2 linked regions of the Macaca fascicularis genome follow. The protein of the gene in region 1 purifies or fractionates together with the protein of each later gene. This does not show direct contact. Links are inferred from orthologs where the notes say so. Each region holds a gene or a part of one and is shown in the gene's direction. Other genes may lie near its edges.

What was found.
Region 2: the proteins of TRAF7 (region 1) and MAP3K3 purify together in Homo sapiens (affinity purification with mass spectrometry; 5 studies listed by BioGRID and IntAct, with this or other methods). This does not show direct contact. The link is inferred for Macaca fascicularis from reciprocal best matches to the Homo sapiens genes TRAF7 and MAP3K3.

Annotation. Positions count from the first base shown.
Region 1 is NC_088394.1:2,923,494-2,927,748, forward strand, and holds the start of TRAF7 (E3 ubiquitin-protein ligase TRAF7), read left to right. Parts: upstream 1-1,350; 5' UTR 1,351-1,434; intron 1,435-1,605; exon of another isoform or gene 1,606-2,075; intron 2,076-4,255. UniProt on the Homo sapiens protein: E3 ubiquitin and SUMO-protein ligase that plays a role in different biological processes such as innate immunity, inflammation or apoptosis. Potentiates MAP3K3-mediated activation of JUN/AP1 and DDIT3 transcriptional regulators.
Region 2 is NC_088390.1:70,192,432-70,196,233, forward strand, and holds part of MAP3K3 (mitogen-activated protein kinase kinase kinase 3), read left to right. Parts: intron 1-2,053; coding exon 2,054-2,121; intron 2,122-2,314; coding exon 2,315-2,407; intron 2,408-3,023; coding exon 3,024-3,215; intron 3,216-3,747; coding exon 3,748-3,802. UniProt on the Homo sapiens protein: Component of a protein kinase signal transduction cascade. Mediates activation of the NF-kappa-B, AP1 and DDIT3 transcriptional regulators.

The DNA of each region.
Region 1 (4,255 bases):
CCTGAGGTCAGGGGTTTGAGACCAACCTAACACGGAGAAACCCCGTCTCTACTAAAAATACAAAATTAGTTAGGCATGGTGGTAGGCGCCTGTCATCCCAGTTACTTAGGCGGCTCAGGCAGGAAAATCGCTTGAGGCGGTGGTTGTGCCATCGCACTTCAACCTGGGAAACAAGAGTGAAACTGTCTAAAAAAAAAAAAAATTACGGGCAGAAATGGCGAAGGCAATCCCAAGAGATGGAAAGTCACTGGTAACGAGTTTCCGTTCCGTTTTCATGTCTGTACACTTTCCCAAGATTGCCTGTGGATAAGCCAGACCTCCGGGGTGCCAGAAGAATAAGAAAATAAAGACACTTGAGAGAAAACCGAATCAACTCACTACCTTTGCTTTATTGCTAAGCACTTCAATTGCCACAACGCCCACCTTACCGCTCGGCCCTCCGGATTGAGGTTCACTTAGGTTCAAAATTTGCAGCCGGCTGGCGACGAAACCTGAAAGTCAGACAGCGCCAAAACGTAGACAATAAGTCCCCACTCCCTCGTTTCGGGCAACACTTGTTTCCATTCTCAGCCCGTCTCCGTCAAGAGTGAGCACCCCCAAGCCTCAGTCTTGCAAAATAATCAGACTGCACGTGCAGTTTTCATACGAGGTGTCAGAAGTCAAAGCAATTCATCACAGGCTTGGAGAATAGGGGAACCCAGACCCGGCCCAGTCTTACCTGCAGGTAGCTGAGGGTCTGAGATTCAGGAAGAAACGTTTAAACACTAAGGGACAAAGTGGAGCCTAGGCCAAGGCTGGACGCCCGGGGACCGGGCCGGCCTGCAGCTTTCAGGCCGCCCTCAAAGCCACGCTCGTGGCCCAGTTCTTCCCTGGATCTTAGCACATGGCGTACGCATTAACACAACCCGCCAGCTTCGCACTCGACCGCAAAAGAAAGGAGGCGCACGAGGCTCAAGCTTTTATAGAAACTTTCCCACCTCTGTCATTGGGCTATCCTGGCGGAAGTGCCCGCCTTCCCCTGACGCTAGTACGCCCCGCTCCCTACCGCGTTGTTTCCACCAATCGTACCGTGGCATTTCTTTTGGCAGCGGTCTCTCGGACCCAGAACCGAAGCTCCTCCCTTATGCAGAGTCCGTAAAGCCTAACAGTGAGTGACGGATGAGCAAAGCCAATCAGACATCAATCTGCAACATAGAGTGATTCTGAAGCCGCCAATCCCGCCCCGCGACGACGAGGCCGCCGGAAGTCGTAGTTTCGGAAATGCCGCGCGTGAGGCAGCCGACCGGGCCCCGAGAGGTGGGGAACTACAAGTCCCGGCGGGCGCAGCGGCCGAGCGCTTCCGGCTCGCGCGTCCCGTCCCTTTCCCGGCCGGCGGCCGAGGGGGCATCATGAAGCGGGCTGGCAGTGCTGCCGCTCCCGGGCGGCCGCGGGCGGGTGAGTGTCCCCGCGGCGCGCCCGACCCGGAGCTCGCGCCTCGGGGCCGCGCAGTGGGGCGGGATCGGGCGCGTCGAGGTCGTGGCGAGGCGAGGCGAGGGGTCGGGCGGGGGGGGGGGCGGGGGCGGGGCTGAGACGGTCGGGGTCGGGGTCCGGGTCCGGGTCGGAGTCGGAGTCCGCGTAGCTGTCCGTCCGCCTGTCAGTTGTCCGTCCCTCGCTCCGTCGTGTTCTCGCGCGTTCTTTACTCATTCCTTTTTCCTGCATTCCCCGAGCCGCCCGGGTGCCAGGCACTGTTCTGGCCGCCGGGAGACTGCGGAGAACACGGTCCCAGTTCTCCTGTGATCGGCATCTGCTGCAGGGTTCCCCAACCTCCGCACCATCGACCACGCGGTCCGGGTCGCTCTTTGCTGCGGGGGGCTGCCCTGTACATTGTAGGATGTGGAGCAGCCTGCCTGGCTCCTGGCCGCTAGATACCAGTAAACACCCGCTCTTCCTCAATTGCGATAACAAATGTCTCCTGCGAGACAACTCCCCCTTATTCCCGGTCTAGACAGACAGGGTGGTGGGATGGACAAGAGATAGTCAAAATCGTGGGGAGCGGCGGTATGTGCTGTGAAAGAAAGAAAGAGGGTGCTGAAAAAGTGAGTACTGGTCGGGGGTGCGGGCGGCGCTACCGTTAGCCAAAGGCCTGATGGAGAAGTAGCCAGTCCCGGGACGTGCAGGAGGAGCGTTCCAAGAAGAGGGAGTCCGATGTACAAAGGCCTGGGGTGAGAAGGGGCCTGACGCACCCCAGCAAGCCCTGGCAAGTGGAGAGGCGAAGTCGATGAGGCCGGACCAGGTTCACAGAGTGCATGGCGGGGGTGGGGGCGGGGTTATTGTGCTTTCAAATGACTTGGGGTTGAGGAAGCGCTGGAGAGGCGGGTCCGATCTAGGTCCGGTAAAGAGCTTTCTAGCAGTTTGTGGACCACAGACTTCGGAGCTCAATGGGGAAGCAGGAGAGAGGGAGGCTAGGCCATCGTCTCCTAATCCCCACTGGGGTCCAGCTGTCAAGATATGGTTGTCTTGAGCCAGGCCAGAGTGGTCAGCTGGGGCTGAGTCTGGAGTCCAGGAGAGGGGCCTGCTGGATCCCACCCTGCTCTTCGGGGTGGAGGGCTGCTTGCTTGCTCAGGAATTTCACGCCGCCCAGCCTGTCTGCCCTCCTTTCTCACCACCCCTCCGACCCCTTCCTGGGCACACACAGGCCCCCTAGCCCTCGCCACGTGAGGAGCCTCCCTTTTCCTCATTCCTTCTCTTTGGGCTTCTCCCTTCCTAGACCCCTTTCCTGTGCCTCTCTATTGGGAATATCCTGACTTCACTGCTCTGGGCATTCATAGTTCTCTGTGGAAGCCCCGGGCCCCGTGTCCTGATGGGGAGCAGTGGTATGGGTAGCCTGGTCGAGGGAGGGGAGGGGCCAGGAGTCGGCACCCCAACCTGATGCCTCAACCTGAGGGTCTCTAGTGAAGTGACTTCCACCGTAGCCCACTGGGGCCAAGTGTCACGATATTTCTGGAAGTGAATGGAAAAGTTCAGGGTCTTTGGCACCCACCGAAAAGTGCCTTTGGCAGATTGAGTGGCGATTGGTGGGGCTCCTGCCCCTCCGTCTGCCTGTGTCCCCCACCAGGTTCCTAGCTCCTCCCAGGTCAGATTCGCGTTCAGCCATCACATGTCCCCACCCTCCCGCATAGGGCCTGGCACCCCATGGTTGGTGTGACTCTCGGCCAGCTGGTTGGACAAGGAATGAGCAGTTTGGGGAAAGGAGGAAGATGCGGTTGAAGGGATTCCTGGCCAGGAAGCATGGGCAGCCTGGCTCTGGGATGCAGCCGCTCCCTGCCTTGGCATGGGACTGGCTCAGGCACTGCCAGGGCTCTGGATATGTGGTAGCTGTGGACGAAGCAGAAGGAATGGGACTCTGGTCACCACGACACAGCCTGGGCCGGCCTCTCCCCCTTCCTCAGTCTCCATGGTCTGCTCAGCAGAGGAACTACTGTCTGGGGCGCCTTCCCTCTTGACAGGTGCATCTTCTCTTGGCTCCTTCCAGACGAGGGTCCGGCTCTACTCCAGTTTTCGAGAAACTGGAGGCTGGGAGGGCAGGTACACAGCTGTAAAGTGGCAGAAATGGAATTTGAACCGAGCTCTGTCTGAGCCCAGTGCCCGTTGCTTTGACCATGGTGTCACAGCATCTCCTGGACCGACGCCCTGCGGGATCAGGGAGGGCATGTGGGGAGGGCCGAGAACTGTTGGCTGCGTGTGTCTCGGTCTGGCCTTCTCGGTGGGTGGGCACCGAGGACTTCACCAGGCCCTCTGTGTGGCTCATGTGGGAGGAACCTGTGGAGAGGGACCCACCAAGCCCTTAGTCTTCTACAGATCCCCCGTTGCCCCCAGCCTTGCTCCCTGGAGGAGGAGGGTGCAGCCAGGTGGGGCAAGTGAAAGGGGAAAGTGAGCACTGGAGGCTGGGGCTGGTCATGTGCAGACCCGGACGCCCTCACTCAGCTGGAGGAGGCCAGCTGCCTGGAAACTCGGGGTGGAGGTGACCCAACCCCAGAAGCACCCAGGTGGGAAGTGGGGGGTAGCGACGCAGAGGGCCAGGACTGAGGGGCATGGGACGGTGTGGGAAAGGAGGTGGCAGTGCGGTGGCACGCTGGCATGAAAGTGCTGGGTGGCTGAGTGGGTCAGACGGTCTCTGCCCTCACGTTCCTGTTGCCTCTTCGGGCCCAGATCTGGCCAGTGTTTGTGTCAGCTCCCTGCTGCTGCAGGGCAGAAGGAAGGAGAGAGCCCGGGAGAC
Region 2 (3,802 bases), on another chromosome or scaffold:
TAGACTGAGGGCTCTGCCAAGACAGGGATTGACTCTGGCTTTGGACTATCTCCTAAGCTTTGGAGGGGAAAGGGGAGAGAAGAGGACTACGGAAGGTCTAGTAGTTGGGAAACGAGGGGGCAGCCCCCCTGTGCCACTGCCTTGAGAGTTTCAAACCTGTGGCCGCCGCAAAAGGCCAGTAAGCACTCTTGTATAAGGGAAAGGGCCATTCAGGTGGATGCTGGGAAAGATAGCTACATTTACCTGCCTCTGTATTCTTGGGTTTTTTCCTCTGTCCCTACAGTACTTTCTTTTCTTCTCATTGTGAATGACCTGGACTTACTTCCTTGAGGTCCAGCCTGACTTGGGCTCAGGGCTCTCATCTTCCCTTCATGGAATCTGGGAAGGGGCATGAGATCTGGAGTCAGACAAACCTAGATGCAGTCCCAGCTCCACCAAATATTAGTTGAATGGCTTCAGACAAGTCTTTTAACCTCTCTGTTCCTGAGTTTCCCCATCTCCGAAATGGGATGGTGGTGATTAAGCTGAAAGAAAGATGCCTGGTTTAGCAGCAAGAACATAGACTTTGGGGTCAGAGACCTGGATTTAAAGTCTGGCCTTGAGGCACAGTGGCTCACACCTATAATCCCAGCACTTTGGGAAGCCGAGGCAGGCGAATCACCTGAGGTCAGGAATTCGAGACCAGCCTGACAGGCATAGGGAAACCCCATCTCTGCTAAAAATGCAAAACAACAACAACAACAACAACAAAAAAAAACAAGTGCAGTGGCTCACGCCTGGTAATCCCAGCACTTTGGAAGGCCGAGGTGGGTGGATCACGAGGTCAGGAGTTCAAGACCAGCCTGGCCAACATAGTGAAACCCTGTCTCTACTAAAAAATAAAAAAAATAGCTGGACTTGGTGGCGGGCGCCTGTAATCCCAGCTCCTTGGGAGGCTGAGGCAGGAGAATCACTTGAACGCAGGAGGCAGAGGTTGCAGTGAACCGAGATCGCCCCATTGCACTCCAGCCCGGGCAACAGTGTGAGACTCTGTCTCAAAAAAAAAGCAAAAAAATTAGCCGGGCATGGTGGCACGTGCTTGTAGTCCCAGCTACTTGGGAGGCCAAGGCAGGAGAATAACTTGAACCCAGGAGGCGGAGGTTGCAGTGAGCCAAGATTGCACCACTGCACTCCAGCCTGGGTGACAGAGCGAGACTCCATCTCAAAAAAAAAAAAAGAAAGTCTGGGGCTGGGTGCGGTGGCTCATGCCTGTAATCCCAGCACTTTGGGAGGCCGAGGCGGGCAGATCACAAGGTCAAGAGATCGAGATCATCCTGGCCAGTGGCGCGTGCCTGTAGTCACAGCTACTTGGGAGACTGAGGCAGGAGAATCGCTTGAACCCGTGAGGTGGAGGTTGCAGTAAGCTGAGATTGTGCTACTGCACTCCAGCCTGGCAGCAGAGCGAGACTCGGTGTCAAAAAAAAAAAAAAAAAAGTCTGGCCCTGTCTTCCTAGCTCTGTCTTTGAGCAAGTAAATAGGACTATGTATACCTAATCTGTAGGGGTGTCTGTGAACTCAGAAACAGCATAGCTGCTCAACAAGTGGATCTGCTATTATGTTATTTTTATTATATGGTATATTTGCTACTTCAGAGCGTTCTGAGGATTAAATGAGAAAAAACTCACTTTAGAAAATAGGTAAGAAAGCAGCAACCTATAAACAATGATGCTGTGGCTATTTTTATTACTCCCTGGGCAAAGGATTCTCTTGGAGCTCTTTTCTTGTTACAGAGGTGGGAAGAAAGGCCAAGGAGGGAGAAGGCTGTGCAGCCAGGCTGGAGTTGGGTCAGATGGGGGAGATTTACCACTCAGGGTGCTGTCAAATTTGGGTCACAGACTAGTGAAGGGAGAGTGGAGAAAGCAGGAGCTGGGCTCAGGAAAGGGCTGTTTCCCGCAAAATCTGCTTCCCCCACCTAACGCTGTGGCAAAGATTAGAAAGGGAGACTGCCTGGATGCCCTGCTGGGTTGCTGTAGAAATGTTCAGGGAGTCCGTTTTTTCTTTTTGTTTTCTCCAGCCCGTCCTTCCGGAAATCACGAATGTCCCGTGCCCAGAGCTTCCCTGACAATAGACAGGAATACTCAGGTGAGTTCACAGAGCCTGGGTGGGCAATGCAGGGGGTCTGGGTGGGGCCTCAGGTGGCTCTGCTTCAACTGTTCTGAGTCAGTAGCTCTCCTTGGGCTTGCTGCTTTGAGGTCTTAGGTGACTTGGGGGCTTGGGGGCTTAAGTGGCTCACATTGACCTACCCAGAAGCCAGTGATTCCCCCATCTTACTCAGATCGGGAAACTCAGCTCTATGACAAAGGGGTCAAAGGTGGAACCTACCCCCGCCGCTACCATGTGTCTGTGCACCACAAGGACTACAGTGATGGTGAGTGCTCCTTCACCTGCTCCCTGCTGGCTGCCTCAAGAAAGGACGAGCCGCCATAAGGAGGGTGGGCTCGTCCATGCAATGCCTGTATTTTCCTTCATTCCTGAGGAATTGTGGCTCAGACTTGAGGCACGGGAGACAGGAAAAAAACAAAAACAGGGAAGATAGTATTTGTAGACCAGAATGCTGCCACTGGGAACTCTGACCTTGGTTGGAGCCAATGGTGTGCTCCAGGGACACCATCTCTCCCATGCCCTCTTCTGCCCCACAGCAGCAGGTGGCCTGGGGCTCTACAGAGGGGTAAGGAGTAGGATACAAGGAAATCGGTGCCTTTGGGTGTGGCTTGGCCTTCCAAGCAATTGGGAGCCCGCGGGCCAGCCATGCACCTTCCCTCTGGCCGGATCTCCCTGAACCAGACTACTTCCTAGTTTCTGCTTTTGTCCTGATTCTTGGAGTGCTTGGGACAGCAGCCTCTGTGGAATGAGTCAGGTGGGAGGGCAGACAGGATGGGCTGGAGCTGGTATTATCTATCACTTCTGGCTCAGACCTGGTTTGTACATTCAGCCTTGTAGCCCGGGGTGTGACTTGCTCTACTCTGGCCCTTGCACCCTTTCAGGCAGAAGAACATTTCCCCGAATACGGCGTCATCAAGGCAACTTGTTCACCCTGGTGCCCTCCAGCCGCTCCCTGAGCACAAATGGCGAGAACATGGGTCTGGCTGTGCAATACCTGGACCCCCGTGGGCGCCTGCGGAGTGCAGACAGCGAGAATGCCCTCTCTGTGCAGGAGAGGAATGTGCCAACCAAGTGTGAGGAGCTGTCCCTGGCTAGGAGGAGACTGCCAAGGCGGTCTCAGACAAGCTACAGGGGCATAACAGCTGGGCCCCTTGGACCCTTAGGCTCAGCAGGTGGTGGCTTTGGCCCACATGCACCACACGGGATAAGCCTTGGAGTGCCTGAAGCCTGGCTCCACTGTTGTGTGATGAGCCTCTTCTCCTCTCTGATCTTTAGTTTTTCCATGTTTAAACTAGGGAAGAGGACACCCTTCATCCCTGCCATATTAAGATATTTAGGGGCTTTGGAAGGAAATGTATTTATCAATGCAGAAGAGCATTTAATCATGACTTCAGCCAATCCTCTGCTTCTTAAGACTCTGACTTCAGGTCCGAGTGACTAGGGCTCTGGGCTTGCTCTAGATTGTGGTGGAGATGCTCTTCTAAGAGAAGATGTGATGGTGCTGGGTGAGGGGGAGCCTGAGCCAGAGGCCCTGTTCCTGGAGAATGAAGGGGATATTCATAAATAATGTACACAAAGTAACTCTTTCCTTCTGCTCTCCTGTAGCTCCCAGTGCCCCCATCAATTGGCGCCGGGGAAAGCTCCTGGGCCAGGGTGCCTT